4 linked regions of the Diceros bicornis minor genome follow. The protein of the gene in region 2 purifies or fractionates together with the protein of the main gene of each other region. This does not show direct contact. Links are inferred from orthologs where the notes say so. Each region holds a gene or a part of one and is shown on either strand. Other genes may lie near its edges. The genes, in order: PGK1, GAPDH, EEF1A1 and SIAH1.

What was found.
Region 1: the proteins of GAPDH (region 2) and PGK1 fractionate together in Homo sapiens (co-fractionation; 4 studies listed by BioGRID and IntAct, with this or other methods). This does not show direct contact. The link is inferred for Diceros bicornis minor from reciprocal best matches to the Homo sapiens genes GAPDH and PGK1.
Region 3: the proteins of GAPDH (region 2) and EEF1A1 fractionate together in Homo sapiens (co-fractionation; 3 studies listed by BioGRID). This does not show direct contact. The link is inferred for Diceros bicornis minor from reciprocal best matches to the Homo sapiens genes GAPDH and EEF1A1.
Region 4: the proteins of GAPDH (region 2) and SIAH1 purify together in Homo sapiens (affinity purification with western blotting; 4 studies listed by BioGRID). This does not show direct contact. The link is inferred for Diceros bicornis minor from reciprocal best matches to the Homo sapiens genes GAPDH and SIAH1.

Annotation. Positions count from the first base shown.
Region 1 is NC_080781.1:70,535,711-70,543,406, reverse strand, and holds the start of PGK1 (phosphoglycerate kinase 1), read right to left. Parts: upstream 3,334-7,696; 5' UTR 3,253-3,333; coding exon 3,188-3,252; intron 1-3,187. UniProt on the Homo sapiens protein: Catalyzes one of the two ATP producing reactions in the glycolytic pathway via the reversible conversion of 1,3-diphosphoglycerate to 3-phosphoglycerate.
Region 2 is NC_080756.1:55,148,704-55,156,127, reverse strand, and holds the start of GAPDH (glyceraldehyde-3-phosphate dehydrogenase), read left to right. Parts: upstream 1-4,206; 5' UTR 4,207-4,267; intron 4,268-4,526; 5' UTR 4,527-4,544; coding exon 4,545-4,567; intron 4,568-6,351; coding exon 6,352-6,451; intron 6,452-6,533; coding exon 6,534-6,640; intron 6,641-6,761; coding exon 6,762-6,852; intron 6,853-6,978; coding exon 6,979-7,094; intron 7,095-7,187; coding exon 7,188-7,269; intron 7,270-7,424. Other genes in the region: NCAPD2 (condensin complex subunit 1), read left to right, coding at 606-732, 833-988, 1,228-1,313. UniProt on the Homo sapiens protein: Has both glyceraldehyde-3-phosphate dehydrogenase and nitrosylase activities, thereby playing a role in glycolysis and nuclear functions, respectively.
Region 3 is NC_080762.1:56,998,806-57,007,058, reverse strand, and holds the start of EEF1A1 (elongation factor 1-alpha 1), read right to left. Parts: upstream 3,226-8,253; 5' UTR 3,156-3,225; intron 2,401-3,155; 5' UTR 2,367-2,400; coding exon 2,223-2,366; intron 1,922-2,222; coding exon 1,742-1,921; intron 1,625-1,741; coding exon 1,328-1,624; intron 1,250-1,327; coding exon 1,099-1,249; intron 1,010-1,098; coding exon 753-1,009; intron 666-752; coding exon 431-665; intron 320-430; coding exon 195-319; 3' UTR 1-194. UniProt on the Homo sapiens protein: Translation elongation factor that catalyzes the GTP-dependent binding of aminoacyl-tRNA (aa-tRNA) to the A-site of ribosomes during the elongation phase of protein synthesis.
Region 4 is NC_080771.1:2,322,322-2,329,951, reverse strand, and holds the start of SIAH1 (E3 ubiquitin-protein ligase SIAH1), read left to right. Parts: upstream 1-4,570; 5' UTR 4,571-5,081; coding exon 5,082-5,181; intron 5,182-7,630. UniProt on the Homo sapiens protein: E3 ubiquitin-protein ligase that mediates ubiquitination and subsequent proteasomal degradation of target proteins.

The sequences.
Region 1 (7,696 bases), on a different chromosome or scaffold from region 2:
ACTATACACTTTATTTCAATGTCAACTTCCTCCCTTTGATATTGTACTCTAATTATGTAAGATGTATCCAACGGGGGAAACTGGGTGAACACAGGACCTCTCTGTACAACCGTTGCAGGACCTCTTTGCAACCTCCTGTGAATCTATAATTATTTCCAAACAAAATGTTAAAAATATTGATTTAGTTGGGTTAAGAATATCAAGTCTCTATCACTTGAAATCTCAGGAGTCCAGGCCCAGTTCCATTAAAAGCTCTCAAAGGAACCATGCCCACCCTTGCTTCACTACCCCTGACTGGAAAATTGAGGTATTATGGCTGTCTTAGAGACTTTCTTTTTCTCTGCTCTCAGTTTTTCCTCTCCATTTCTTTTTCTACTACATCAAGGCTGTTGCTTAACAAGTTAAAACACATTAGAGAAAAACAGGTTTAAAAAAGCACGGGGGAACAAGTAAAAGGGAAGTGCTTCACAAGTTGGCAAATGAGTATGACTGGCAACCTGTGAGAGGAAGAAAGGAAATGACATGGCAAAAATAAGCAGGAAGTTTACTCAAAGAGCTGTAAAGTCAACTGGAGTCCTAAAAAACTGAGGTGGAACCTGGTAATTATCCAGTCAGTTTCTGGCTATCTAATGTTCCCTCAACAAATCAGTCAATTCCCCTTGGCAATTCAAAGCAGGGGCCAGAAGACTCAGCAAACCGAGTTCTCTTACGCAGGAAAAAGAGAGGAGGCAAGTGAAGCAGTCACTACTCAGGAGGCCCCATTTCTGAAACACTACCAGCAACCACCACGTAAAGGCATTGAAACAAAAAGAAATTTGAGCTGACACCACATGGCTGCCCAGGCTCTTCCAAAAAGTAGTCGGTTAGAAAAAGGTACATTAATAATCAGGGAACAAAGTAACTTCTTGTCCTCAGGCCAAATAAGCAGAATTTATCCAGATTACATGAGGAAAATTGATTGCAACCTTCAGTAGACAAAAGGTCTATTTTAACCTGTCCTTGTTCATTATGAATATTTAGAGGATCTGGCTGGTAGCCAAGGAGATCCAAATTCTAGTTCTAGCTCTGCCAACCTGCTAGTTCAGTGACCTTGGACAGGTCATTTTCCATCAGCAAAACAGGACAAGCCAATCATTTCAAGGCTCAGGGTTAATCTGTGTTAAATGAAACTTTGAGCCCTTGGGCAGAAAGATATTTCATATTAGGTCCAGAAGGAGAAAAGATAAGCACCTCCTCTAGTCCCACTCCCAGCCAGCCCAGTTAATTCCTCAAGCCAATTTCCCTGGGGAGAGAGGAGATAAAGCCCAAGACTGAAGTTGTAGGAAGTTGACGAGCATGATACCCCACCTCTTGTCTTTCAGCTGGTGCATGCATCTGGAAAGGTCTGATGTGAGCCCAGTGGAGATGGGAGGAAATAATTAAAACCTAAGATCTAGGGGCCGGCCCTGTGGCTTAGCAGTTAAGCGGCTTAGCGGTTGAGCACGCGCCCTCCGATCCCGGGCGCGCACCGACGCACCGCTTCTCCAGCCATGCTGAGGCCATGTCCCACATACAACAACTAGGATGTGCAACTATGACATAAAACTATCTACTGGGGCTTTGGGGGAAAAAAAAGGAGGAGGATTGGCAATAGATGTTAGCTCAGAGCTGGTCTTCCTCAGCAAAAAGAGGAGGATTATCATGGATGTTAGCTCATGGCTGATCTTCCTCACAAAAAAAAATAAAAAATAAATAAAAAACCTAAGATCTAGTTGCATGCCAATGTCCACCTGTCTTGTTTTTCATAGGGTCTATCCCCTTTCCTTAAGATCACCTGAGGAGTAGAAAGGGCCCTTATCTAATACTAGGATTGCTGTGATTCCTAATTTGTCCACCAGGTGTTTCTCATGGCCATAAGCTACTGAGTTCTTCCATTTCCATAGCCAGGCCGACAAGGCCACTTGCAAATAGTGACCATAATGAAATTAGAGGGAAAGGGAGAGCTACATGAACTTTTAGGGTGCCCATACAATTCTCTAATTCATAGTGCCCTCATATGTTTAAGCCTAGGATAAAGGGAGATACCCTTCTGCCTTATGTATCTGTTAATATCCAAAAGATGCCCTCATTTGAACCAGCCCAAATTGGGAAAGGGGGTGGATCACAGCATTCAGATGCCTGCCCATCCATCAACCACTTCCCCAAAAGGACAAGACTGCACAATGCTATCAACTCAAGCCCTTATGGCCGCCCAACGGCACTACCCTTCGATCCTGTCAAGGCATATGAACAGCCAAGACTATCAGTTACACACCTAACTGTCCTCCTGTACTTTGCTCCTGGCATGCACAAACGTACCACATGTTACAAAAAGGATAAATGTAAAAGTTCCATACACCATACTAGTAATTTGGGCAGATAAGGGAGAAGCTACGTTTGTAAGTGACCAGGGATCCACGTATGCAGTGTAAGAGACCCGAAAGTGCATGGAGAGCCCTCCCCACTTCTAATATCCTGCTTCTCTAGCCACCTGTGGGGTGAGGTTGGAGAACAGCAAGAATGAGCAGCCACACCCTGCTCTAGCATTACCCAGCATGTGTCACAATCGTGATGCAAACCCCATGGCCTGGAGTCCAACCACACCATAGGCCCTTCTCACCCTCCCACCCCCAATGCTTTAGAGGGTTCTACTGAACATCTAAATCACCACGCTCTGGGGAAGATTTCCTTTTGTGAAGGGACCTTTGAAATGTGGGCCGTTTCTCATTTGTCTGGGATGGTCCAGGGCGGTGGGGGAAGGGGAACTAACCAAATGACCTTTCAAGGTCCCTTCCTTGGGGCCTAGGGATTTGCAGGATAAGCATCAGGTCCCACCTTGCCGACTGGGAGCTGGGGCCGACAGAACTGCATTTCAAGAATAGGAAAGAGGGCAAAATGGGTCCCGGCAATCTGAGCCCTTTCTCAGTGGATCCACCCCTAAAGGGCAACTACGGCTCGATTTCTGGGCTGGGGAAAATGAGGTTAGAAACCGTAACACCCGGGCAAAGCCTCAGCTACAACGGTGGGCAGCCTCGCCCTGCCTGGCTAGGGCCCATGGGGCCGAGTAGAGGCCTAAAAGCAACTTGGGGCAGTCGGGAAAGCAAGTCGGCCCCAGCCGGAGAGACTGCGCGAGAGCCGCGAGGGCGCGCAGGCACACGTGTACAATTACCTCATGACGACCCGCTTCCCCTTCACATTCAGCTTGTCCAGCGTCAGCTTGTTAGAAAGCGACATCTTGGCAATACAGCGGCGGCGACAGGCCGGGGGATCAAAGAGCAGCAGACGAAACTGCCTACGTGCGCGAGAGACGCGTGCCGAATGCCCAACTCCGCGCGGGCCCCGCCGCTCCGCCTCCCGCCCCGCCACGCCCCGCCGCGCCCAACGCGCCGCGAACAGCAGCCGCTATTGGACGTAGCCCAAAGGCGCCGGCGCACTGCCATTGCTCCGAGGCGCTGTCCGTTTGCTAGGGCGTTGGTGGACGTGCTGCTTCCGTTTGTCACGTCCGGCACGCAGGGAGCCGCTGGGAACCTTCGTGACTAGGGGCGGGAGCGGAAGGCGGTGCCGCGGGGCCCGCAAGTTGGGGGGAAGGGAGCCGGGTGGTGGACGTGGAGAGAGTGAGAGGTTCAAGGCCGCCACCCGGGTCTCCGCCGCCACCCGGGTCTCTGCCGCCGCGCCCAGAGCAGCTACAGCGCCGCGGAAACCCGCGACAGCTTGGGGAAAAGCGCCAGCCTCCATCCCACGGAATTCCCGGCAGCCCTACCAGGATCGATGCAAATGGCACCTCCCTTTGGAAAACTGTGGTTTCCCGGCTCCCCAAAATGGAATTCTCCGCAAGGCTGCTAAGCGGCTTTAATAATGGAGACCTCGCAGAAGTCAGGAAAGGCCCAGGACCCCCCGCACGCCCCACCTTTTTAATAATAAAAAGTGCAGTGTAATTCTTCTGGTTACAACACAGTGCTACAACATATAGCATTTTTCATATATTAACGAATGCAAAACTCGGAAGTAGGTACTGTCATCCTCATTTTACAGATGATGCATAAAGAGGTTTAGTGACTTGCTTAGAGTTTCAGATCTTGTAAGTGATGGGTTCAAACCTAAGCAATCCAGATGTAGAATCCATACACTTAACTATACTGTAATACAGACACCATTGCTAGGAACTAGGTATTTGGTGTCCACATGCTTACAGAGTTGGCTGGAATGAAGTAATTTGAATCACAAACAAAAATTTCCCACGTATGGCACTCGTCCAGGTAAGATATAGGAAATATTAATTCATAGTGCACTGGTATTGAGACACAAATGTGTCTGTCTGATAATGAGACACAAGTTTAAAGTTACAAGATAAACATTAGTTCCTTTCAATCCTGTCAATGTACATTTGGGAAACCTTCATGGAGTTACTCCAAATGAATCTACATTTAAAGCCCAGATGGGCCTCCTGGCCTCATCCATGATCAGCTCTGCATATATTTAGCACTTATTTCATTCCATCTGGATTATTGTGGCAGTGCGAAGCAATTCCTTTCTGATAAGATAGAAAAGCAACCAAGGGCATCATCAGGGAAACTAAAATAAGCAATCTGACAGCCTGAACTTAACAATACTTCCCAATTATTGAGCACTTACTGTATGCCAGACACTGTGCTACAGGCTGAACATACATGATTCATTTACTCCTCACAATAGCTTTGTGAAGTAGGTACTATTATTATCTCTATTTTATAGATGAGAACATTAAAGCTCATAAAGATCAGGAAGTTTTATCCTCTACACATCTGAAGCAGTATCAGAGATGCAAAGATCCTAAGATGGGAAAGAGCCTTAGACAACACAAAAAGTCCAATGTTGCTGGAAAATAGAGTGGGAGGAAGAGAGGTCTAAAATTATACTGAAGAGGCAAGGTAAGCAGGGACCAGATCCTTTGGGCCTTATAACCATGATAAAGATGTGATATTCATCCTAAAAGCAATGAGAAGCCTTTTGTTGCAGTCATTTTTGCCTACCCAACAGCCTTTCCCCAGCCATATCCTTTCTTGCTAACAGAAGCCCAGTTTGATTATTGGGCCAGTGACAGGGAGGGTAGGCTTATGTCACAGCCCCACGGGATGAATCATGGTTGACTTCAATACAATACGGTTGTCTAATAGACCTTATTCAAATTTTCCAAATTTGTGTTAATAATGTCTTTTATAGCAAATATCTTGGTCCCAGATGCAATCCAGGATCACACGTTGCATTTAGTTGTTTTTTTTCTTAATTTTTTGTTTATTGCAGTAACATTGGTTTATAACATTGTATAAATTTCAGGTTTACATCATTATACTTCTATTTCTGCATAGATTACATCATGTTCACCACCCAAATACTAATTACAACCCTTCACCACACACATGTGACGATTTATCCCTTTCGCCCTCCTCCCTCCCCCCTTCCCCTCTGGTAACCAACCATCCAATCTCTGTCTCTATGTGTTTGTTTATTGTTGTTATTATCTACTACTTAATGAAGGAAATCATACGGTATTTGACCTTCTCCCTCTGACTTATTTCACTTTGCGTAATACCCTCAATGTCCAACCAAGTTGTCACAAATGGCTGGATTTCATCGTTTCTTATGACTGAGTAGTATTCCATTGTGTATATATACCACATCTTCTTTATCCATTCCTCCCTTGATGGGCACTTAGGTTGCTTCCAAGTCTTGGCTATTGTGAATAACGCTGCAATGAACACAGGGGTGCATGTATCTGTACGCATTGGTGTTGTCAAGTTCTTTGGATAAATACCCAGCAGTGGAATAGCTGGATCATAAGGTAGTTCTATCCTTGATTTTTTGAGGAATCTCCATACTGTTTTCCATAGTGGCTGCACCAGTTTGCACTCCCACCAGCAGTGTATGAGAGTTCCCTTCTCTCCACATCCTCTCCAACACATGTTGTTTCCTGTCTTGTTAATTATAGCCATTCTGACGGGTGTGAGGTGATATCTCATTGTAGTTTTGATTTGCATTTCCCTGATAGTTAATGATGTTGAACATCTTTTCATGTGTCTGTTGGCCATCTGTATATCTTCTTTGGAGAAATGTCTGTTGAGGTCTTTTTCCCATTTTTTAACTGGGTTGGTAGTTTTTTTGTTGTTGAGATGCATCAGTTCTTTGTATATTTTGGAGATTAATCCCTTATCCAATGTATGGTTTGCAAATATCTTCTCCCAGGGCCGGCCCCGTGGCTTAGCGGTTAAGTGCACGTGCTCCGCTGCTGGCAGCCCGGGTTCGGATCCCGGGCGCGCACCGCTTCTCCGGCTATGCTGGGGCCGGGTCCCACATACAGCAACTGGAAGGATGTGCAGCTATGACATACAACTACCTACTGGGGCTTTGGGGGGAAAAAATAAATAAATAAAATCTTTAAAAAAAAAAAAAAAACAAATATCTTCTCCCAATTGTTAGGTTGTCTTGTCGTTTTGTTGATGGTTTCCTTTGCTGTGCAGAGGCTTTTTAGTTTGAGGTAGTCCCATTTGTTTATTTTTTCTATTGTTTCTCTTGCCCGGTCAGACATGGTGCTTGAAAATATGTTGCTAAGACCAATTTCAAAGAGCGTACTGCCTATGTTTTCTTCTGGAAGTTTCATGGTTTCGGTTCTTACATTCAAGTCTTTAATCCATTTGGAGTTAATTTTTGTGTATGGTGTAAGGAAGGTAAGGGTCTACTTTCATTTTTTTGCATATGGCTGTCCAGTTTTCCAAACACCATTTGTTGAAGAGACTTTCTTTTCTCCATTGTATGTTCTTGGCTCCTTTCTCAAAGATTAGCTGTCCATAGATGTGTGGGTTTATTTCTGGGCTTTCGATTCTATTCCATTGAGCTGTGTGTCTGTTTTTGTGCCAGTACAATGCTGTTTTCATTACTATAGCTTTCTAGTATATTTTGAAATCAGGGAGTGTGATACCTCCAGCTTTGTTCTTTTTTCTCAGGATTCCTTTAGCTATTCGGGGTCTTTTGTTGTTCCATATAAATTTTAGGATTCTTTGTTCTATTTCTGTGAAAAATGTTGTTGGAACTTTGATAGGGATTGCATTGAATCTATAGATGGCTTTAGGAAGTATGGACATCTTAACTATGTTAATTCTTCCAATCCAAGAGCATGGAATATCTTTCCATTTCTTTGTGTCTTCTTCAATTTCTTTCAGCACTGTTTTATAGTTTTCAGCATACCGATCTTTCACCTCTTTGGTTAAGTTTATTCCTAGGTATTTTATTCTTTTTGTTGCAATTGTAAATGGGATTGTATTCTTAATTTCTCTTTCTGCTACTTCATTGTTAGTGTACAGAAATGCAACTGATTTTTGTATGTTGATTTTGTATCCTGCAACTTTACCATATTCATTTATTACTTCTAAAAGTTTTCTGGTGGATTCTTTAGGGATTTCTATATATAAAATCATGTCACCTGCAAATAGTGACAGTTTCACTTCTTCCTTTCCAATTTGGATCCCTTTTATTTCTTTCTCTTGCCTGATTGCTCTGGCTAGGACTTCCAGTACTATGTTAAATAGGAGTGGTGACAGTGGGCATCCCTGTCTAGTTACTGTTCTTAGAGGGATACCTTTCAGTTTTTCACCATTGAGGATGATATTAGCTGTGGGTTTGTCATATGTGGCCTTTATTATGTTGA
Region 2 (7,424 bases):
TTCTGTCTCCAATTCCTGCTTCTTTGTTTCTTTATCTCTTTTTCTAATAGACTTTATTTTTTAGAGCAGCTTTAGGTTCAAAACAAAATTGAGTGGGAAGTATAGAGCTCCCTCATATGTCCCCTGCCCCCACACATGCACAGCCTCCCCCATTGTCAACTTCCCCCACCAGAGTGGCACATTTGTTACAATCGATGAGCCTACATTGGCACGTCATTAGCACCCAAAGTCCATAGTTTACACTGGAGTTCACTCCTGGTGTTGTATGTTCTGTGGATTTAGACAAACGTGTAATGACCTGTGTCCACCATATAGTATCAGACAGAATAGTTTCACTGCCCTAAAAATCCTCTGTACTCCCCCTGTTCATCCTTCCCTCCCCCAGCCCCTGGCAACCACTGATCTTCTTACTGTTGCAACGGTTTTGCCTTTTCCCAGAATGTCGTATAGTTGGAATCATACAGCATGTGCCCTTCTCGGATTGGGTTCTTTCACTTAGTAATGTATATTTAAGGTTCCTCCTTGTCTTTTCATGGCCTTGTTTCTTTTTAATCATAGAAATAACTATATTTCCAGGCCTGCTCTTACTCTCTTTTTCCCTCTAGGCTATACTAGATGAATTTGAGCAGAAGCTTCGGGCCTGTCACACCAGAGGGCTGGATGCAATAGAGGAACTTGAGAGTGGCCAGGGAGGTAGCCAGCGAGCCCCATCAGCCAGGAAACAATCCGCTGGTACGTGAGGCAGCCCCACGGGAGAGAGACCAGACCAGGCCCACTTCTTAGAGAGGCTCCTTTTTTTCTCTCTGTGGACTTATGCGTCTGCCTTTTCTAGCCTCTAGGCACCAGCATCTGGCTCCTGCAGCCTGGGACAATGACTTTGTCACACCTGAGCCCCGCCGTACTACCCGTCGGCATCCAAACACCCGGCAGCCAGTTTCAAAAAAGAAATCCAGAATTGTCTTCTCGAGTGATGAGTCCAGCGAGGAAGGTACAGTGCTCCCTCCTGGCCCAGCCCAGGAGGAACATAGCTTGGGGGGGGCTGGTTTGGTGGGGTCCTGCTGTGTAGAGTCTCCACCCGCTCGCTTGAGGGCGTTTTCCTCCCTGTGCAGGCGCAGTTCAGGTTTTATTTCTGCAGTGTGGGCTGGGGCTGTCCCATTTGTTCTCTGAGATCTCTTTTCACCATCTTTGTGACTCAGCTTTTTCTAATTCCTCCAATTCTTTGAATAGAGCTTTCAGCAGAGATGACAGAAGACGAGACACCCAAGAAAACAACCCCCATCCGCAGAGCATGGACTCGCAGGCACAGGTCCTAGGGGTCCTCTAGCCTGTTCCCATCCCTGCTGTGCAGGGAATCTTGTGGGTGACCTTGAATTCCATTCTCCTTGTAAAATACTGGTTTGCCTGTCTCCTTGTTTTTTTAATGCATAAGTGGTCTTTATAATGTGAGCCGTTTCTCTTACACTTGCCTGACTGAACCGAGTTGAGCTGCTTTCATGGGAATATATGTTTGCCAGTCTGCTTGTTTTCTAATGAATAAATGTTTTTATATACTTTTAGACATTTTTCCTAAGCGTTTCTTTGTTTCATCTTTCACATTAGCCCAGATGCAGGTGGCAGAGAGAGGGTTATCAGTCCAGGAAGAGAAGAGCCAAGGAGTCCTGGGGCCCCTCTCAAGATCTGATATGCTTCGTGCCCCTCAGTGCCTCATCCTTCCCTTCTCGACCTCGGCCCTCTGCATAAGTGACAGGACTGCTCCACTCTGGAGAATTATGCAGTGTCTAGACTCCAGATCAGCGCTCTCAAGTTGGGGGGTATTTTGCCCTCCAGGGGACATTTGGCAATGTCTAGAGACTTTTTGTTGTCATAACCTAGGGGGAAGGGATGCTACCAGCATCTAGTGGGTAGAAGCCAGGGATGTTGCTAAATATCCTGCAATGCACGGGACAGACCCCGCAACAAAGAATTATTCAGCCCAAAATGGCCATCAATAGTGCTGAGGTTGAGAAACCCTGCTCTAGACCAAGGGCTGGCATCCTCTGTGTGTCCGTCCCCGGCCACACTTGTGCTCCCTAATCCCACCTCTGAGGACCTGGCCAGGCTAATGGAAGGTCAGGGCATGATCCCCTCCAGCTCTAGACAATGTCTCTGGAGACTGTGTCTCCCAGGGACTCCTCCCCATGTTCCAGGGTCTGCAGGAAGTCGGGCCCCCCCAGGTGCAGGCACTGCTCTGTGCTGCCACCTGAAGCTGTCCACCCCCTCCACCTCCCCACGTCTTCTCTGCTGAGTCACCTGGAGCAGGAGGCAGGGAGCCTGCTGTCATGACAACACTGGTGTCTTTGCTGTCATGACAACAGCAGACTGCGTCAGTAGTGCTCCTGGGCACTGAGCTCCCTCTTTTTGGCAGAGAACAATAATCAAAAATGACAAGCATGAGGCGAAGGGGAAGACAGTACCTCAGACACTTGCTTTGGGTGGTGCAGGAACATGGAGGGGCTCCTAAGGCCCTTGTCAGGAAAGGGTTAATGGTCCTGGTGGAGCCTGAGCAGGAATGGAACAGGAGCAGCTGAGTCCACTTCAGCAGACTCTGCAGTGTGGCGCTTCCCATCTCCTCTCACCGTTAGGTGCCCTCTGGCCCCGTTCTTGCTGTTCATGAAAAGCCTGGGCACCAATCATGCAGATGGCTGCCAGGCACAGGCACAGGCACAGCCGTGGCTCTGGGGCCCCAAGGAGGGAGGGCAATCCCAGAAAGGGAAAGGACTGGGGCTGGAGTCTGGGTGTGCGACAGCGTCCTCTCTGCCTCTTAAGCAAAGGTTATCACCAGGCGGGCTAAACTTAGCCTGTCAGTTAGAAAAGGGGGCTGGTCTCAGGTTACGCTGGGCCAGCAAAGAGGCCCCAGGATCCCTGTCCCCCAGCACCTGCTGATAGGCAACGTCCATTCCATCCCACCCCCTTCTAAACCCTCACTCCTTTCACGTGCTCAGAAGCAGTCCTTTCTCCAACCTCAGCTCACAAACTTGGCACAGCCAGGCATCCTGACCCCTCGCGGAGGGGAATGGATCCTCTCCTCTACCTCACGTGTGGGAAGGGGCTGGGGACCTGTTCCCACCATGTACCCAAGACCTCCCATTTTTTCCCTACTCTGGACTCCTCACCCTGCCCCCAACAGCCCCGGGCGGGCGCAGCCAGTGAAGGGGAGTCCCTGGCTCCAGGGCTGGGCCGCACGTCCCAGAGTGGGGAGGGACTTCCGCCCTCACGTCCCGCTCTCTGCCTTGGGCTGGAGGGGTGAAAGGGGCATTGTCTCCAAGCCTGGGCGGCGCGGCACGCGGGTTTCCCAGGAGACACTTTGTGGGAGGCACCACCCAGCCCCCAAGAGTGATCCGTCCTCCCGCTGGGGCCCTGGCCTGGGGGAGAGCATCTGGTGCACACAGGGCCTGGTTTGTCTGCCCCAATTATCAGGTCTCCAGGCTGCCCGAGCTGCAGGACAGCGTGACCTTCAGCGCAGAAACCCTCCCCCCCGCAAACATCTTCCTGAGCCTCCTTCCTCTCCAGGCCCCACTGCCCAGTGCCCAGCCCAGGCCCCCGGCCCAGAGAGGCCTGGAGCCAGGAGATGGGGAGGAGGAAGTGGGGGCTGGGAAGGGCCCCGCAGAAGGCGGATTGGCCCCTCCCCGGCCTTCTACTTGGCTGTTCCTATGTCACTACCGAAGAGCCTCGAGGAGAAGTGCCTCAGCCTTGGAAAGAAGGGGGAGGGGGTGGCAGTGTGCAGCCGCCAACGTGACCCGGGCTCCGGCTCCAATTCCTCATCCCACCAGCTCCCAAAATCTTCCCGTTTCATCCGTGCAGCAACTTTAACTTCCCTGGCTCCTGGATATCCTCAGTTCTCACCAGGACCACTGTCCTCGAGTCCACAGTCTCCTCATGCCACAGTCCCGTCCTAGGCACCATCACCGATCACCTCCCCCATTGGGCCAGTCTCAGTCCCCTCCCCCTCTCTGTCCCTAGCCCACACGCGTGGTGCGGGCACATCTGAAGAGCCGGCGGGTTCAAAAAAAAAAAAAAAAGGCAGGCCCGGCTACTCGCGGTTTTACGGGCGCACGTAGCTCAGGCCTCTGCGCCCCAGTGCCGGCACTTGGGGGCCGGCAGGAGGCGGGGCCGCGTCGCCACGCCCCGGCCCCCCTCCCTCGCCTCTATAAATTGGGACAGCAGTGTGCGACTGTGCTCTCTGTTCCTGCCCGGTCCACGGATAGCCGTGTTTCTTGCGCAGTGCTAGGTAAAAACAGGCAAAGCGGGGCCACCAAGGGCTCAGGAACTGTTCCGAAAGGGGCGCGGGGCTTGCGCAGGCCAGGAGCTCGGCTGCGCGGTGCGGGGTCGGGGTGTGCGCGGCCGGGCCTCCGCATTGCAGGGGCCGGACGTGCGGAAACGCGGGTTGGGAATGGACGCATGGGGGAGGGGAGCGGCGGGGAGGGCGACGGCCGGACTCCAGCGCTTCCCGCCCCCGCGTGCTAATGCTCGCCTTCCTCTTCCCGCAGCCGCGTCCCCGGGACACGATGGTGAAGGTCGGAGTAAACGGGTGAGTTCGGGAATGGGCTGGGTGTGGGGCATTGAGTTCTGCGGCCCCCAGCAGTTTGCCCTACCCGGATCTCTGCGAGCGGGTGGGGAAGGTGGGTGGGATGGTCGAGCGACCCCACCGAGGAGAACTCAAGGTCAGCGCTCAGACCTGGCAGAGGCTCCCGCCTCAAAGGGCCTCGTGTCTCCCGCCCCCAGCTGTTGCGCTTGCTGTAACTCCACTCCTGCAGGGACAGCTTGCCCGGAGTCTTCCACTCCACCGACCATGGGCAGACGAGTCCCCAGTTCTTGCTTTGGACCCATCCCCTTAATCTCCTAGCTGGGGCTTCTTTTTTCCTTTCGCGCCCTGCGAGGTCATGTGCTGGAGAGGAGCCTCTCCCCCCACCAGCCTCCTTCCCCTCACCTAGCCAGGCCCAGGCCCAGCAGGGGGATGCAGAAGGCACAGCGTGGGAGGGTTCATTTGCGGTAACCCAGCCGCCATGTTGCAACTGGGAAGGAAATGAATGAACCACCGTTAGGAAACCTGCCTTAGCTCTTCAGTCTTCCTCCTCCTCCCTTGCCTGTGACTAACCCTCCAACTCCTGCCTCTATGGGGTGGAGTCGCCTTTATCCGGTAAAGTAGGTGAGGCAAGGCTTTCCTCGCTCTTGCTTTCAAAAGAGCTGGACCTCAGAACTGGGACCATATTAACCCTGGACCATCCCTTAAACAACCAGCTGAATTTGCCCTCAGGGATAATGCTTTTCTTAGATGATTCTCTGATGGATCAAAAACGGGGATTTATGGGGATCCTCTTGCATGTTTTTTTGGGGGGGGGAGCTGTGGCAGCGGTGGCTTAGTGCCATGTTGGGGGAGCTGAGTCATGGGGAGTTAGAAATTTTCCACCACAAAATGGCTCCTGCAGCAGCAGCCCCTTTCTTCATCGGCCTCTCCCTGAAGCGCCTTTCTTTCATCCATGCCTAGAGCTGACCCAACCCCAAAGGCCAGGCCGTAAAGGTCACTGGGAGGATTAGGTGTCTGTGAGCCTTGGGAATCCTGCCCTTCTCCCTATTCCATCTTCCAGAAACCAGATCCCCACTCCACCCTAATCTGAGGTTAAATATAGCTGCCTGACCTTTCTGCAGCTGGGGGCCTGACCAGTCTGCTCTCTTCCACCTCCTTCTCTCCCACACACATCTGTTGCTACTGCTCCTGATTTTTGGAAAAGAGCTAGGAAGGACGGGTAGTTTAGCAAATTAGAGCCCAGGGATTAGGGGCTTGAGAAACCATGTTTTCCCTGTCTCCTTCCCTTTTGTGGGAGGGACTTGGAAGATGGGTGGGCTTTCCTCATCCAGTTAACTTGCGACCTTTACTCTTGCCCTTTGAGCTTGGTGATGCTGAGTGCACAGTCTTGCTCCTGAGAGGGTGTAGCCTGAAGTTGGGCCAGACAGGAACAAGCCTTCCCAGGGCAGATAGCTGGGGTGATGAATGCCATGTGCCAGGCATGTGCCCCAACTTTGGATGGCAGCAGCGTACCCTGCACTGCTGTTTCTCCTTGAAGGACTTCAGATGGCTAGGGGGTGGGCAAGTCTGTGAGCCTGATCACCTCTTGGAAAGGATAGGAGCCTTCACTTTATGACTAAGCTGTGCCTGGAGGAAGATAAAATTAGACCTCTTGGAGCTCTCTGGTGGTGGGATGGCCATCTTCCCTCTGAAAGAGGATGAGTTGGCCTAGGGCTGCTTACATACATGATAGGGTAGAAGTCTGTACTTCCTCCTCCTCATGCCTTCTCACCTTTTGTCTCCCTCAGATTTGGCCGTATTGGGCGCCTGGTCACCAGGGCTGCTTTTAACTCTGGCAAAGTGGATATTGTCGCCATCAATGACCCCTTCATTGACCTCAACTACATGGTGAGTGCCGCCCATGCAGCTGGTATGGGGAGCAGAGCCTGGCTGAAGCACAGTCCTTTGATGCCTTCATTTGTTCCTCCAGGTCTACATGTTCCAGTATGATTCCACCCATGGCAAGTTTCATGGCACAGTCAAGGCTGAGCACGGGAAGCTTGTCATCAATGGAAAGGCCATCACCATCTTCCAGGAGTAAGTATGGAAGACGAAACAGGAAGAAGAAATCTGCCTTTGGGGAGGTACTAGAATGGGGTGACCACCTTGGGTACGTGGTACCTCATGTCCCTGAGCTTTGTCTTGTCGTCCTTTGTAGGCGAGATCCCGCCAACATCAAATGGGGTGATGCTGGTGCTGAATACGTTGTGGAGTCCACTGGTGTCTTCACTACAATGGAGAAGGCTGGGGTGAGTGGCAGGGAGGCTAAAGAGGGGGGAGTTGACCCTGAGATTTGGTGTAGCAGAAAGGGGGCAGGGGGCTGGCTTCAACCTGGAAAGATAGAACCTGGGTTTGTAATGCCTCCTCTACTGCAGGCTCACTTGAAGGGTGGAGCCAAAAGGGTCATCATCTCTGCCCCTTCTGCTGATGCCCCCATGTTTGTGATGGGTGTGAACCATGAGAAGTATGACAATTCCCTCAAGATTGTCAGGTGAGCATGGCGGAGGGGAGTTGAGAGGGGAATGAAGGAGTGGTCAGATAGTACTACATGTTACAAGATGGAATGCTCTTTCTCTCTTTTCAGCAATGCTTCCTGCACCACCAATTGCTTGGCTCCTCTGGCCAAGGTCATCCATGACCACTTTGGCATCGTTGAGGGACTCATGGTATGAGTGGAGAAAGTGACCAGAGCACATTCATTTCTCACCCAGAATTGGATCCTTCTGTTTCCTTAGAACATAGTCTAGGGCTGTGGGACACAGGGGGTTCCAAGGGATTGGCTCGGGTCACTCTAACCCTTAATTCTTCCTAAGGGGAGGAG
Region 3 (8,253 bases), on a different chromosome or scaffold from region 2:
AATAACTTAAAACTGCCACACAAAAAAACCAAATGGTCCACAACACATTCTCCTTTCCTTCTGAAGGTTTTACGATGCATCATTATCATTAACCAGTCTTTTACTATTAAACTTAAATGGCCAATTGAGACAAACAGTTCTGAGACCGTTCCACCACTGATTAAGACTGGGGTGGCAGGTATTGGGGATAATATTCATTTAGCCTTCTGAGCCTTCTGGGCAGACTTGGTGACCTTGCCAGCTCCAGCTGCCTTCTTGTCCACTGCTTTGATGACACCCACAGCAACTGTCTGTCTCATGTCACGAACAGCAAAACGGCCTATTAAAACAAATTTTACATTACTATTAGAAACTCTTGGTAAGACAAAGGCAATTATTTTCCATCTTTAGTAAAACTTCCTAAGTGCACTGGTCAGTCAGTCATCCTTACCCAGAGGAGGATAGTCAGAGAAGCTCTCAACACACATGGGCTTGCCAGGAACCATATCAACGATGGCAGCATCACCAGATTTCAAGAATTTTGGGCCATCTTCCAGCTTCTTTCCAGAACGACGATCAATCTTCTCCTTCAGCTCAGCAAACTTGCAAGCAATGTGAGCTGTATGACAATCCAGCACAGGTGCATAGCCAGCACTGATTTGGCCTGGATGGTTCAGGATAATGACCTTGGAGAAAAGATTTGCATTTCAGTGTGTCTCAAAGAGAGTTAAAGTTCTGGCAAGAGATGAGAATGTGTCACTTTAAAGTGTTACCTGAGCTGTGAAGCCAGCTGCTTCCATTGGTGGATCATTTTTGCTGTCACCAGCCACATTGCCACGACGAACATCTTTGACAGACACGTTCTTAACATTGAAGCCCACATTGTCCCCAGGAAGAGCTTCACTCAATGCTTCATGATGCATTTCAACAGACTTCACTTCAGTTGTAACATTGACTGGAGCAAAGGTGACCACCATGCCAGGCTTGAGAACACCAGTCTCCACTCGGCCCACAGGAACAGTACCAATACCTAAAATGTTTACAACACAGTATCATAAACACACCACATACCAAGTAGCAACCCATGCAAATTACACTGACAGTAACGTTTCAACTTACCACCAATTTTGTAGACGTCCTGGAGGGGCAGACGCAAGGGCTTGTCAGTTGGACGAGTTGGTGGCAGGATGCAATCCAGAGCTTCAAGCAGTGTGGTTCCACTGGCATTACCATCTTTACGGGTGACTTTCCATCCCTTGAACCAAGGCATCTGCAACACAACGTCAATTAGTGTTACCATGAAACTTGCCCCTTTCAGAGTTTTTCAACTGCTTTGAAAGCCACTTACGTTAGCACTTGGCTCGAGCATGTTGTCACCATTCCAACCAGAAATTGGCACAAATGCAACTGTGTCGGGGTTGTAGCCAATTTTCTTAATGTAGGTGCTGACTTCCTTAACAATTTCCTCATATCTCTTCTGGCTGTAGGGTGGCTCAGTGGAATCCATTTTGTTAACACCAACGATTAGTTGTTTCACACCCAGTGTGTAAGCCAGAAGGGCATGCTCACGGGTCTGCCCGTTCTTGGAGATACCTGCTTCAAATTCACCAACACCAGCAGCAACAATCAGGACAGCACAGTCAGCCTTTTAAAGAAAACAAGGCCATACCTTGTTAAAGCTCTTCAAAAGGAAGACAACACCATGTTTTCAATGTATAAGACAAACCAAGAGTTACTGCCGATAGTTATTAAAACTACAAACCTGAGATGTGCCTGTAATCATGTTTTTGATAAAGTCTCTGTGTCCCGGGGCATCAATGATGGTCACATAATACTTGCTGGTCTCAAACTTCCACAGGGAGATATCAATGGTGATACCACGCTCACGTTCAGCTTTCAGTTTATCCAAGACCCAGGCATACTTGAAGGAGCCCTTTCCCATCTGTTAGGGTTGGATTAAAAATGGTTACTTGCTAACTAAGACACGATCAAATGCCAGCTTGAAATTCCTTACCGCACTTATCTAGCTAGAAATGCTCGATTCCTCTTCACAATGGCTAAATCTAAGTGGCTTTCCCTTATTCTCAAAACATGGTTACAAAACTGACTCAACAGCAAACATTAGGTTATACCGTTTTTATCCAGTGTGACGTAAATATCTAGGCTAGTGACAATAATTTTTCAAAATCTTCATTTAACGTCTTCAGCAGTAGACTTCTCATTCACCTGTTAGTGATACCTACCTCCGCAGCCTCCTTCTCGAATTTTTCGATGGTTCTTTTGTCGATCCCACCACATTTGTAGATCAGATGGCCAGTAGTAGTCGACTTGCCCGAGTCCACGTGTCCAATGACCACGATGTTGATATGAGTCTTTTCCTTTCCCATTGTGGCTTAGATTCAGCGGTGGTTTTCACGACACCTAAATTGAAAGAAAAAATAAACTTTAAGTCACCGTCCCAAAGGCTTGAAAAAAGCTACGATCCAAACTCAAAAGGGCAAACTCCAAGTTGCATTACAGCAGCGCCCCACTGGCCCCGCTCTCGCCTCCAGCCCCGGCGGAGCCGACCACGCCGCCCCTCCCCCCGGCCGAGGACCGCGGGGGCGGCGGCCGGGAGCCGGGGCACGGCGCCGGCCCTTTGTGTGGTGACTCACGCCCGCCGGGCCCGCGTCCTCCATTTTGAGCGCCGCCAGGGCCTGAGCGGCCATCTTTCCGCGCACGCAACTGGTGCCGCGCAGCCGGCGCGCCCCGCCGCACCCGGGCTCCCTCCGCCCCCGCCCGCGCCCGCACGAGCGGCCCCGCCCTCCGCGCCTCGCGGCGGCCCGCGCCCGGCAACCCGACGACGCGGACGAGCCCACACGGCGGGATCCGGCCCGGCCTCGGCCACTCCACCCGCGGGGGACACCGTGGTGTCTTCTCAACTTCAAGCGGCCGGGGACCTCACCCGAGGGCAGCAGGGGCCCCGCACGCGGCGGGCGCTGCGCCCGAGCCAGGCCTCAACCCCAGCACGAGGCGCAGGGCCTTCCGGAAAAGCCCAGGCCGCGAACCGCACCACGTCCAGCCCCAAGTTCGAGGTCAGGAGCCGCGTGAGGGGGCTCCGCGGAACGGCGGCCGAGAGGCACGCGAGGCCGGGGCCCGCCGCGCAGGCCCGGCCCGGAGGCCACACTCGCGCTCACCTGTGTTCTGGCGGCAAACCCGTTGCGAAAAAGAACGTTCAGGCTGACCACGGCGCTTATATACGGTCTTCCCCCCCTCGGAAAAGGGGGCGGGGCCAGCACACGACGCGCTTTCCCAGCTCTCCCCGCGCCGCCGCCCAGTGCACTCGCAGCCCCTCCCCCACTCTCGGGGACCGTGCGCCATGTGCGCTCAACCCGCTGAAGAGCACACCTCGCTTCGCGCATGCTCCTCTCGACCCCGATGACGACGAGAGCCACCGGGAGGACCGGGACGCACGCGCCCTCAGTTCTAGGTTAGTGGGAGTTTAACGACGGTCCCTGGGATTCCCCCAGGCAGAGGCGAGTCCTCTTTTTGTATGAGTTACTCTCAGCACCAGCGCGGGGTGCGGCGGCGAGAAGGCGGCTGGCGGGCACGTCCATAATCTTCCTGTACCATTCCTGGTTTAACTGCAAAGATGGTATCGATATTGGGGTGTCCCTTCATCCCGCAATACACCTACCGTCCTCAGTCCTGCCCTCTCGAGGGTCCGGAACAAGCCCCTCCAGCCGCTTCCTCCGCCCTCCGTGCCCCGCCCGACCTGAGGGGAGTGCAAGGCCCGAGACCCGGGGGCTCCCTGCCCGGTCCGAGAGCCGCCCGCGGTTCAGCTTGGAGGCTGTGAGCCCGACGGATGTGCTCCCGGGCTGGCCTCTTGGCTGGTTCCGTTCAGAGCCAGCTGCTTTTATCGAAGGCCGCATCACATGTTCGCCCGGTGTGGTCTCCACATGCCCAGTGTTTCAGTTCAGAACAGAGTTCATGCCTACAGTTTGCTTTACTTCTAACTCTAGTTTTGTTACAAAAGAGACCCTGAGTGTGTGTGTCTACCCTGGTGGTACATTTTTTTCCACTGTACACTCGATTGCACGCATGAAATACCCAAAAAGAATTTTTCAAATTCAGTCTTGCCACATGATCTCATGTAGAGGCTAAGAGCTACAGCCTCAGCAAGATTATCCTCCGCGTTTTCCTGTCCCCAACACTTGCTGTGAAATCACTGCTTCTCAAAAATGGCCTATCCTATTTAAATAAATGGCTTCATTTTCTGTCCTATTGATTGTAACTGAATTTTAGCATAAATCTAGGGCGAAATCTGATGAGGCCTTTTTGGTTGACAATCAGGGCAGACTGAGAAATACTCCTCTGAAGAAATAAGAACGTGTATTTTTAATGAGCTAATTACAAGAACATTATGTCTTTTCTTCCACGTATAGAACATCTCTGCAACTTCTCGAGGCAATCTATTAAATATTTGAGAAGCTACTAAGTGTCCAGTGCTAAGCGAAGCTCTGTGGCATGTGAAAAAGAAATACTTCTTTTTGGAGAGGAACCCACAATCAAATTGGAAGAGGAAAACAAACATAAAACAATTGGGAAGCAGTTAAAGACAAACTTGTATGCTGCTTACTACTTCATTGTAGAATATAGTTCTTTCAGTTCTCACAATCTAAATGCCTTTTTTTCTTTTTAAATGAAAGAAGCCTTCTAGAATAGCCTTCCTTTATCTTTTTTTTTTTAACCATTCCTTGTACATATAAACTTCTAAAAATCAGGTTTTTCCATTTCTTCATTAGGTTTCTATCCTTCTCATTTGAACTTGGAGATAGTTTTCATGAAAGAAACGAGGCCATATAAAGTTTCCCTAGAAATACATATAACTAATATTTTTCTAGCAACAAAAGCCTTTTCTATGTCTATATTTCTAATTTCTCTCTTCTCACAAATTCTTCTTTCACATTGCATTTTCCTAGTGCCCTTACCCAGTTATATACATGTAGAATAAAATTATCTTGATATGCTAGTCCATGTGTGTAATAAGATAAAGATGTAAGAAGTAACAGTGAAAATCAACTCCTAGCAATAGACCAATGCAAATACCTCTGCTCTTATTTCCTTGGAAATATTAATTACTGTTCTCTTTGGAACTAGATTCCCACATAAGCCATATTTGTATATCACAGAAATATAAACTGCACACTGTGTTATTTCAGATTAAGATCAAAGTGCCAGATTTATTATTTTTCATGCCTTCTAATAGGAATGGCAAAATTTTAAAAATGTAAAGAAATGGTTATTTAGTGACACGAGGGAAGGAAGCAAAGACTAAAGAAGACTACAAGTTGAATATTTGAAAGTTTTACATGGAATCCAGAATTGTAGTTAATATCTAAGGAAAAAAAGTCAAAATGAAAGTGGATGTTGGTAAGAGGGAAAAGTATCAAAGATAATTTCAGTTCAGTAAAATAAAAGTGAAAAAAGTGATCTCTGTGAAATATGCACAATTCATTAAAATGTGACAGTGCAAACTCAAGTACTTTTATATAATACTAAAATTGTGATAATTGGAGAGATAATGCTTTCAGGTGAATTATTCTGTTTGAAAAGATAGACCTACTATAATTTAAATAGTAATCTTTGTAGATGTGTGTGTATATTCAGCACTATGTCGGACACGGGAATTCTTTAAGAGATGACCACAAACATTTCCACAGGAGCTTATAAAAACTACAGGTCCTGATTCAGATGTCACCTTTTCATTTTCCTAGTTGCACCTTGACTGCTTTGGATGGTGAAAAAAAGAAATCCAACATTCCAAGTATAATTAAAGTAATGAAATGATCCGAAAGTGTTCCAGGAACAAATAATGGCAGCTGAATTTTCATTATTATGCCCAGAAAGAAAGGAAAATTGAAGAAGTTTGACTCCAAAGCTATCCCAGATTATAGGCAAGTTTTCCGCAAGGCCCGGTGATTGCAGGTGAGAGTATACACTTTATAAACACCTTCTAGAGAATTCTTTAACACAGCACCTAAGGAAGAGCAAAGTTATACATAGTCTTTGATTTTTGTGTAAGTAACCTACCGGGCACCACTGACTGGTGCGAGGGCCGCCGAGACTTGGGCGGGGGCGGGGGGGCGTGTCTGGAGCCATATTGTGAGTAAGGGTTGGACACGGGTCACAGCCTCTTCTCAGGGCCCGGCCCCCACTTCTGCTCTCGGCCGGGGCCGGGGCCGGAACCAGGCGGCGGCGGGGGCGGCGCTGCTGTCGGGCGCCCCGCGCCGCGCCCACACCTGCGCCCCGGCCGCCGCGCCCCCGCCGCCCCCCGGAGGTCCCTCTGGGCGGTCCTCTGACTGCGGAAGGAAGCGCCGGGGAGGAGACAGAAAACCCCGCGTGGCTGGGGGGGTCGGTTTCGTCACCGCGGCGTAGCCTCTAAAACACTGAAGCAGATGTTATTTTCTTTTTAAAAAGTCCCTTTCCCCAGGCCCTATGTGTTAAACATAATCGTAGCGCATTTTGTCCGACTTGACAGCAGATACATTATGCCTTTTACTAACTTACATGTTAAAACGCAACGGTAACATTGTTGAGACTTGTAAATGTGTTTTGGGGTCATAATCTAAGGTCATATTTTGCTTAAGATTTTCCTTAAAGTTGCTCATACTATTTAGAGTAGCAAACTCTAAAAAAGGATTTTAGTTATTAACTTAGTAAAAGGGCGAACAGTAATAGTTCTTTGATGTTTCTAATTGTGATTCACCAAGCATCTTTCGGTATTGGCTAATCACTCTGCTATTGGGCTTACTTTAAAGCAGCTTTAGGTAATTACGTTTTGCTGTGGCTTGCCACCTTCCTGTTGCCTGTGCCAATTGAAAATGATCATTTAAAAGGTATTTTTTTTCTTTTTTTGTGTTTGAGGAAGATCAGCCCTGAGCTAACATCCGATGCCAATCCTCCTCTTTTTTTGCTGAGGAAGATTGGCCGTGAGCTAACATCTGTGCCTATCTTCCTCTACTTTATATGGGACGCTGCCACAGCATGGCATGACAAGCGGTGCATAGGTGCGCGCCCAGGATCCGAACCTGCGAACCCCGGGCCACTGAAGCAGAGTGCTCGCACTTAACCGCTTGCACCACTGGGCCAGCCCCGTAAAGGGTATTTTAAAATATAATTAAGCCAAGGAATTATTTGGACTGAGAATCCAAGCATAATGTTACTTCGCTGTGCCAAGCACTGTTCTAATATTTGCAATATTTAATGTAATCCCACTGTTTACTGATGGAGAACCTGTAGGCAACTGATAATTTATGCGTAATAAGCAAATACAGACATACGTTCTTTTTTAAAGTTTCACTTTTTTGCACAAAATGGTAAAGTACTACATATCACTTTGCTTTTTTCATTTAATATATCTTGGAGATCTTTTCTTTTGAGTACGTTAAAGCCCAGCCGGGCAGCATTGGAACCCAGGTAATCTGACAGGAAAGTTAGTCTTAACTTGTACCAGCGGGTCTAGGCAGCCTGCTCGAGTGAAAATGGCGGTGGGGTTGGAGTCAGAAAGTTGGGACTCAGTGCTTGCTCTTCTGCTTCCAGGTCTGTGACAGCCAGCAGGGCATCTGTGGCATGGGTCTGCTCCTTACTCACACTTAGCACCTGCCTCACAGTTCTAATGTGCAATGATGTGAAAAGATATGGGGACACTCAATTATCTAGTTTTGTTTTTTTAAATTAATTAATTTATTTTCTTTTCTTTTTTTTGGTGAGGAAGATTGGCCCTGAGCTAGCATCCATGCCCATCTTCCTCTATTTGATATGTGGGACGCCGTCACAACATGGCAGATGAGTGGCGTAGGTCTGTGCCCGGCATCTGAAACCAAGAACCCGGGCCACTGAAGCAGAGCATGCCAAACTTAACCACTACACCACTGAGCTGGCCCCTCAGTTATCTAGTTAAAACCGAATTTCTACAGGCTTTCTGAAGAACGCCTGGCCTCAATTGGTATGCCCTGTGACACTAACTTGACTCAGTAGAGAAAATATACTCATTGGTATCTTTTTATTTATAAAAATTTTGAAATAAGCAATACATGTACATAGTAAAAAATTGTACAGAGGTGATACAGTGAAATGTTACTCTCTTTTAGCAGTTTAGAGGAAGCCTGAAGAATATGCCAGGAAGATTAAGAAAACTAAAGATATTCCTGCTGTGGCTCTCATGCCTCCAAATACGGTGCTTGCCAAGGTAGATGCTCTCTCATTTGGCATGAAGGAAAGGATAATCTTCCC
Region 4 (7,630 bases), on a different chromosome or scaffold from region 2:
CCCACATATAAAGTAGAGGAAAACGGGCATGGATGTTAGCCCAGGGCCAATCTTCCTCAGCAAAAAAGAAATGGAGTCATTGTTGACTAACTTTAATCCTTTTACAACGAGATCGCCATTTCTTAAATTAATTATTTTGATTCATCCCCTGATTTTTTTTAAAAAAGTAATTTTCTTAAGAAGGGTTCATGGGTACTATATTCCTCGAGTTCTTACATGTTTAAGCATGTCTGTTGGTTGCCTTTTGTCTTAATTTTTTCCCTCTGATTACAGAAATAATACAAGTTTCTTATAAGAATATAATAAAGCATAATGTATTCTAATACTGACGCACATGTGAATTTTTATATATCCTCTTAAATCCCCATCTTCCCTTGACTTCTGAGGTGCTGCCTTCCTGGTTTTCTCTCACCCTTGCTTTCCTTCTCAGTTCTTTAGGCTTTTGCTACTCCTGTGGGCCTCACTCAGCAGCGTTGGTCACACCTGGGAGCTGGTTAAAAAATGCAGAGTCTCAAGCCCAGCTGTACAGCAGTTCTGATTCTAACTCAGAATCTGCATTGCAACAAGGTCTCTAGACAATAAGTAAGCACAATAAAGTTTGAGAACTGTTGCAGTCTAGATGCCACTACCTTTTCCTTTAATGAACTTTTAAATCTTTAAATGTTGGGATTTCTTTGAGGCCAGCTCTTCTTCTCTGTGACTTCAGGTAACATCTGTACGGTAACAACTCCTAATCTCCAGTCGTAACTCTTTTGTGTCTCAACTGCTTCTTTGATTAGACATCTCGTGGGCATCTTACTCCTCCTTTGCATTTCATCTGTTATCATATTGCAGTATCTAGCATGGTGCCTAATAGACTCTAAGTATGTGCTGTTTTTTACCAGAGGCGGAATCCTCAAAATACAGTGATTTAGGCAGTAAAAAAGCAAATGTACTTTGCTTTACACATTTGAGTTAGCGTTTGCGTTTTCCTCTCCATTTCCTCTATCATCACCTTTGTTCAGACTTCTTTTTTTACAGCAGCCTTCTGTCAGATCTTGTGTCCTGGGCTTTCCCCGCTTTAGATTGTCAGTCTTACTAGACACACAACTCTTCTATAGCTACAAAGTTTTCAGAGTTATCTTCAGGATAATAGAGCTTTTAGGAAAACATGCACAATTTAAAAAAATTTCTCTTATTACTTTGCTGCAGTTCTGGAAACTGAAGATAGGTTATATAATTTTTTTTCTTAGCATTGTTTTATAATTTGATTTTTAACTTTTGGCATTTTTAAGCTGATGAATTTTTAAGGAGACTTGCCTTAATTTTTGTCAGAGTGTAAGAAGTAAATCTTAAAATAGAAGCGATTTTTAACATAATTTAACAAACATTTTCTGCATAATATCTATCACAATATCAAATGTAGAAAGTTCCTTTTTTGCAAAAAAGACTTGAGGAAAGCCCTGAAATTTTTTTTTTGCAGGGGAAGATTTGCCCTAAGCTATTATCAGTTGCCGGTCTTCCTCCCCCACCCCCCACAGCCCCAGTACATAGTTGTGTATAGTTCTAAGTGTCTTCTTTGTGAGCCACCGACACATTATGGCTACTGACAGACAAGTGGTGTGGTTCCGTGGGAACTGAACCCAGGCTGCTGAAGAAGAGCGTGTGGAACTTTAACGGCTAGGCCATCAGGGCTGGCTCAGCCCTGAAATGTTTTTTTGTTTTATTTTTGGTGAGGAAGATTGGCCCTAAGCTAACATCTGTGCCCATCTTCCTCTATTTTGTATGTGGGACGCCACCACAACATGGCTTGATGAGCAGTGTGTAGGTCTGCACCCGGGATCCGAATCTGTGAACCCTGGGCCGCAGAAGCAGAGCACACGAACTTAACCACTATGCCTCTGTGCCAGCCCCAACCCTGAAATATTTTGAATGGAGAAGTTTTATTTAACCCATTGATTCCTAATACAGAGAGCAAATTCATAATCTGAACCTGTACTTTTATTTTACAATAAATATTATGTCGTTTCTAGGAATAATTTTTGGAGAAATAAAAGAAGGGTAGTGATATTTTTTACTAAATTAAGAATGCAAATCTTCTTATTTTGACTAATTGTTTTTTTTACTAAATTAAGAATGCAAATCTTCTTATTTTGACTAATTGTTTTCACAATTCTCAATCAGACTAATCTTTATACCTTTTTTATTGTCCTCTTTGAAGGAAATATAGCTAAAAATCACCCATATCCTACCACTCAGAGAACTCACTCATTGGTCATTTTCTGGTGTGCAGTCTTTCTGATTTCTCATTCCTTGCTCCCCCTGTTGCCCCATACCTCCCATGTATGTTGTTTGTAATTTGCTTTACAATACATTGTGATCCTTTTAACATATCTGACTACATTCCTCCATTTTAAACTTTTATTTTGTATGTAACTGTATTAGCTGCCTGTTGCTGCTATAACATAACATTTTCACAGGTTCAGTGGCAGGCATTAGGATATGGACATCTTTGAGGTCTCATGACTTGCCTGCGGTAGTGTATTTGTAAACTACAAGAAAATGGTAAGCACAACATTGTTGTGTATTAATTAGAGTAGCCAGGGATGAGGTTATGATTAATCAGAGAAATTCTTCATCAGTCATTTATGAAAGGAAGCAAAGGTTCTCACATGAAATTGAGAATAAAAGTTTATAAGTCCATCTCCTTCTACTGTTAAGTATATTAATGTGGCAAAGCATGGTTAAATGCTCTGAAATTACTAAGACAACGTTAAAGGCTGATTCTAAAATGTTTTGATTTAGATTAAAATCTATTTAAACTTTATACCAAACTGGGCTTGAGATGTAGGCTTTAGAAAGTGTAGATAATGGTACACTCTTGCCAAAATTTGAGTTTTTGCTAACTTTGGGATCTATGGGCTTGTCTTAATGTAATGTAGTTTTTGTGAAATTTTCAGCTCTTTGTAAAACCAGTGTAAGTAAATTTCTATCTAGTCGAGAAATTCTGTTAAGGTTTATTATGCTAAAAATTAGGTAAATGGCAGTTGATCTTTGGCAGACATGTTTGATCATTTGTACAAGCTCAAGGCATTTTTTAGAGTGTGTATCTGGAACCCACAAGTTCTAGCTCTCTAAGTAGTTGATGACCTCAGGCAGAGCAGGAAACTTTCAGAGGTCTCAGGTGAATACTTACTTATTTTGGAGTATGTACCACCTATGATATACATAAATTACCCATCTCCCTTAATCCAGACAAAAGCCACGGGAGGCGGGAAATATTGTGCCAGTTTTAAAGCTGAGGAGGTGGTGAAGACTGGGTTTGAATCCAAGTGTAGATGACTCTAGAACACCCGCACTTTTACCGTCCTGACTCACTTTTGGTAAGTTGAGAGGTTTGTCCATAGATTAATGATTTTCAGACGGTGCTGTAAGGCTCTGTGCTGACCCTTTGAAAGTCTGGGAAAAAATGAAATATTTTTTTGCTCGAGGAATCAGTTATCCCCCCTTGTTTTATGCATGTGGCTTCTGTCTTAATTCTCTTTGGAAAGAATTTCTCTGCCTAAAACATTTGAAGTCTCCTGCGCTAGAAACCAGAGGCACATCTAGAATGAATATGTATTAGAAAATAAAAACGTAGGTGATAGTAGTTTATATTTGTCAATGGACAGACTGTATCTGTTTTCAATTATATTTCTATTCCTAATGATACTTTGTGTAGCCTAATATTAAGATGAGGTCAAGGTGATTGAACAAACTATTAATAGGGTGGGGATGTGATTAGAGTTAAAATTTGATACTGAAAGTGGGTAATCTACAGTTTCCTGCACTGGGCTCACTCCCCACACCAGCTCTTGCTGCGTTTAAAGGCTGCCCTAAGCATGATGTCATGACGAGTTAAACCTCTGAATGCACTAGCTGAGGCGATGCAAATCTGAGACCCAGGATTTGATTGGGGCAAGGGTATTGCTTGTTTAAAAACAAAACAAGCTGCTCTATTTAATGAGGCCATTTAAGATGGCTTTCCCAGAGAGAGAATATAATCTCAATTTGGAGGTTAAAGTAGGAGTTTAATATGGTTATGTGTGTTTACTTCTCTCACTGCAAAGTCTTTTCGGAGAGAAGGGGAGTTTAAAATATGGTGCCGACGGGTAGAAATGGAAAAGTGAGTTAGAATTGAGGAAATACAGTAGTTGACGCCCCGTAAATAGTTACTGAATGAAGTGGGGAGAATGCTTTTACTCTATAAAAAGTTAAGAGTTCGCACGGTTTATCAGCAGGGTATAGTGCAGAGAAGAGCGCTTGTGTGGCCACATGTTTCCTAGACTCTCTGTAGTTCTTGGGTTGAAACCGTACGCAATTGCCGATATCCGACTATTTCGGCCTTCAAAAATGGCATGTTTCGTCCTAAATGTATGCTGGTGGAATGCTGAGGCGTGCACAATGTCGCTGGGGTAGGGGTTTTGCCCCGCTGGGTGGGAGTCGCACAAGGTGGGGCCCGGGTGCTGCGCTGGGCCGGTGGGGTGGAGCTTGCTGGCCCCTGAGCCCTGCCCCTCCCGCCGGCCCCGCCCCGCGCCGGGCGGGCGGCAGTGCCTTGGGCGCCGCAGTGAGGCCGGCTGGCGCTCCCGGTTGGAGCAGGCCTTCCCAGTTGCGACCCGGCTCCAGCTCCCGCTCCAAACGGACCTCCTGGCGGGCCGGACCCTGCAGTAGCTCCAGAGCCGCCTCGGAGAGCGCGCCTCCTCCCCCCGCCGCCGCACACTCTGCAGCCGCGTCCTTCACCAGAGCTGGCCGGAGCCTAGCTGATGAATCTGGGGACGACAGACTTCCAAGACAGACCGAGGTTTAGGGCCCAGCAGAGGATAGCTCAGCGATGGCTCCCATTTTTGGAGACGCAGGCAAATTTGAGCTCCCGGGAAGGTGTGGTCGACTCCTCTGTCTTTGCCTCCGTAGCCCGTGCTTCTGCAGAGTGAATGGAGTGTCTGGAGCAGGGCCCTGACCGTCGCTTCTTGGCAGCGGACATGCTTAGGAAGGTGTCCAGGAAGGGCCTCTGTTACAGATTGTCTTTGCTTCTGGGGCAGCGGCTATGAGTTGCCCGATTTCCAATGACCGGGAAGTCCGGGAAGTCTGCCTTACCTTTTCTGTGCTCCTGGAGGGGCATCTTGCTCACTTGTTTACCAGCAGCTGGGACAAGGAAGAGAAAAGGTATTGACATTAAGAGACTGGTTGGGGCCCGCCCGGTGGCGCAAGGGGTTCAGCGCCCGCGCTCCGCTGCCGAGGCCCGGAGTTCACCGGGTCGGATCCCACACCGAGGCACTGCTTGGCAGGCCATGCTGTGGTGGCGTCCCATAAGGAAGATGGGCACGGATGTTAGCCCAGGGCCAGTCTTCCTCAGCAAACAAAGAGGAGGATTGGCAGATGTTAGCACAGGGCTGATCTTCCTCACAAAAAAAAAAAAAAGAGAGAGAGACTGGTTGCTTAAACTGTGAAACGGGACAAAGTTGTTGTAAGCCAGGGGAATCTGACTGGATCAGGGAATAGCTGCAGCATAATTGAGCTCACAGTGACGTTTCTTTTGATCTGCTGTACTTTTCTCAGTTTAAATCAAATTTCACGTTATGTCATGACTTCTGCAGGGTTGTCCAAAGACACTTGAGTCCTTGGTTCCTACTGCAGGGCTGCTGTGTGGTTGGGATTCTTTTTCTGTTTGAAGATGGAGCTAGGTTCCCACCTCTGGAGCTTTGGGAGGTTTTAGCAGCTGCTCTCTTGTAATACCTCCATTCACAAGAAATATTGGCTACATGTCACTTGTTTTCACACTTTGAATAGGAATTTAAATTGTGCTTTCTAGAATGTTTGGAAAAATAAGAAAGATACATTGTAACATGAGCCTGAACTATTGATGATAAACATATAACTGTTTTGCTAGGTCAAGAAATTAAAGTGTTTTTCTTGCTTAGTAAGTTACATTATGTTGATTTGATTACAAACTGAGTTTACTGCCCCTCCATGTGATTAGCTGTTTTGGTTTAGTGATTTGAAAGGCATTGGTGGCTTAGACTGTTTTGTGCTCAAGGAGCCACTTTCCATTTATTATGTTTGCTCACTTCAGTGAGCAGCATAAAATGGACCATGAAATAGACATACAGCATACATACAGGGCGTTTGGGCAATGCTGACCCATTGTTTTACAAGTGACCTAAAATGATGGATCATCATATGCACAAAGAATCTCCTCAGGGGGAAGCTGGATTACAAGAGAGTACCTTTATAGTCTCTTTGTTGGGCTAGGACACCTGTGGTGTACAGGGCTTCGATGATGGGAACTGATTCGTGTGCTCCATGTGATGAGCTACATTATGGTGGAATTCTGCTGTACTTTTGTTTCCCTTTGAACTTTAGAGAGAGTGGAATTTATCTTTTTTTTCTCTTTGCATCCTCAACCCCCATTTAAGGTGTGTATCCTTGAGTAATCTAGAACTCAGATTGTATTTACATGGTCACATTGGTAACCAGCATTGTTTTTTGAAAGTTAAATTCTTTGAAACAGAATAACAATTATAATTGAGAAAACATTAAATTTGAGGCATTAAATTTTAATTTTGTGGAAATATGGCTTATATAGTTACTGGGAGTACACTCCTGGACATCGACTGCTCTTTTGTCACCCCCCAGATAAACAGTGGCCTGCCGTATCCCAGCAAAGGTAGATTCCTGGGAAAAGGTGCTTGTGTCATCTTTCCTTCAGTCTGACAAGTTAGTTACATTGTTGATCATTCCTTCCAGATGACATTTCTCTCTTAAATAATAATGTTTATTACTGTGCTGATGAACGCTCCAGCAACATTGGTGAACTCTAGGGTACAAGGAATTCTTTAGCTGTTGACTCTTTCCCTGAGCTCCAATGTTGTGAGTGTGTGTCTGGTGCTTTTATATTTATTCTTTTTTTTTCCTTCTTGAGGAAGATTTGCCCTGAGCTAGCGTCTGTTACCAATCTTCCTCTTTTTTTGCTTGAGGAAGATTGTTGCTGAGCTATCATCCGTGCCCATTTTCCTCTATTTTGTATATGGGACACGACCACAGCATGGCTTGATGAGCAGTGTGTAGATTCAGGCCTGGGATCGGAACCTGCGAACCCTGGCTGCTGAAGTGGAGTGCGTGAACTTAACCACTATGCCACAGGGCTGGCCCCTGTCTTCCTTATTTACCTTCTTTTCCTTGCTTTCCTTCTCCTTTGCAAATTATATCTGATTTATATTAATGGAATGGAAGTAGACTAGAATGATTTACTTTCTCTAAGTACCAGACTAAAAACTTTGAGGATGGCCCTCCATTTCTCTTGTCCCTCTTTTGAGGGAGGTACTGATCAGTAGGAAACAAGATTAATACCCAGCTAATGTTAAGGAGCTAGAGGATGAAGATGGAGGATGGCAGCAGGCCCTTCCCCTTGCGATGCCCTCCATTCCCCAAATATGCCTCTAGAGCAGATAACTGTTCACCATTAAGAGGAATTAATCAAAGTCAACTCCCTGGGGATCCTTTGGATCACTTACAAGGCCCTGTAGCTTTCAACAGCTGACACAGAATGGGAAAGAAATAGACTGAGTAGGGAAATTGAACACAGGGAGGAGAAAGTCCAATCAAAATTGACTTG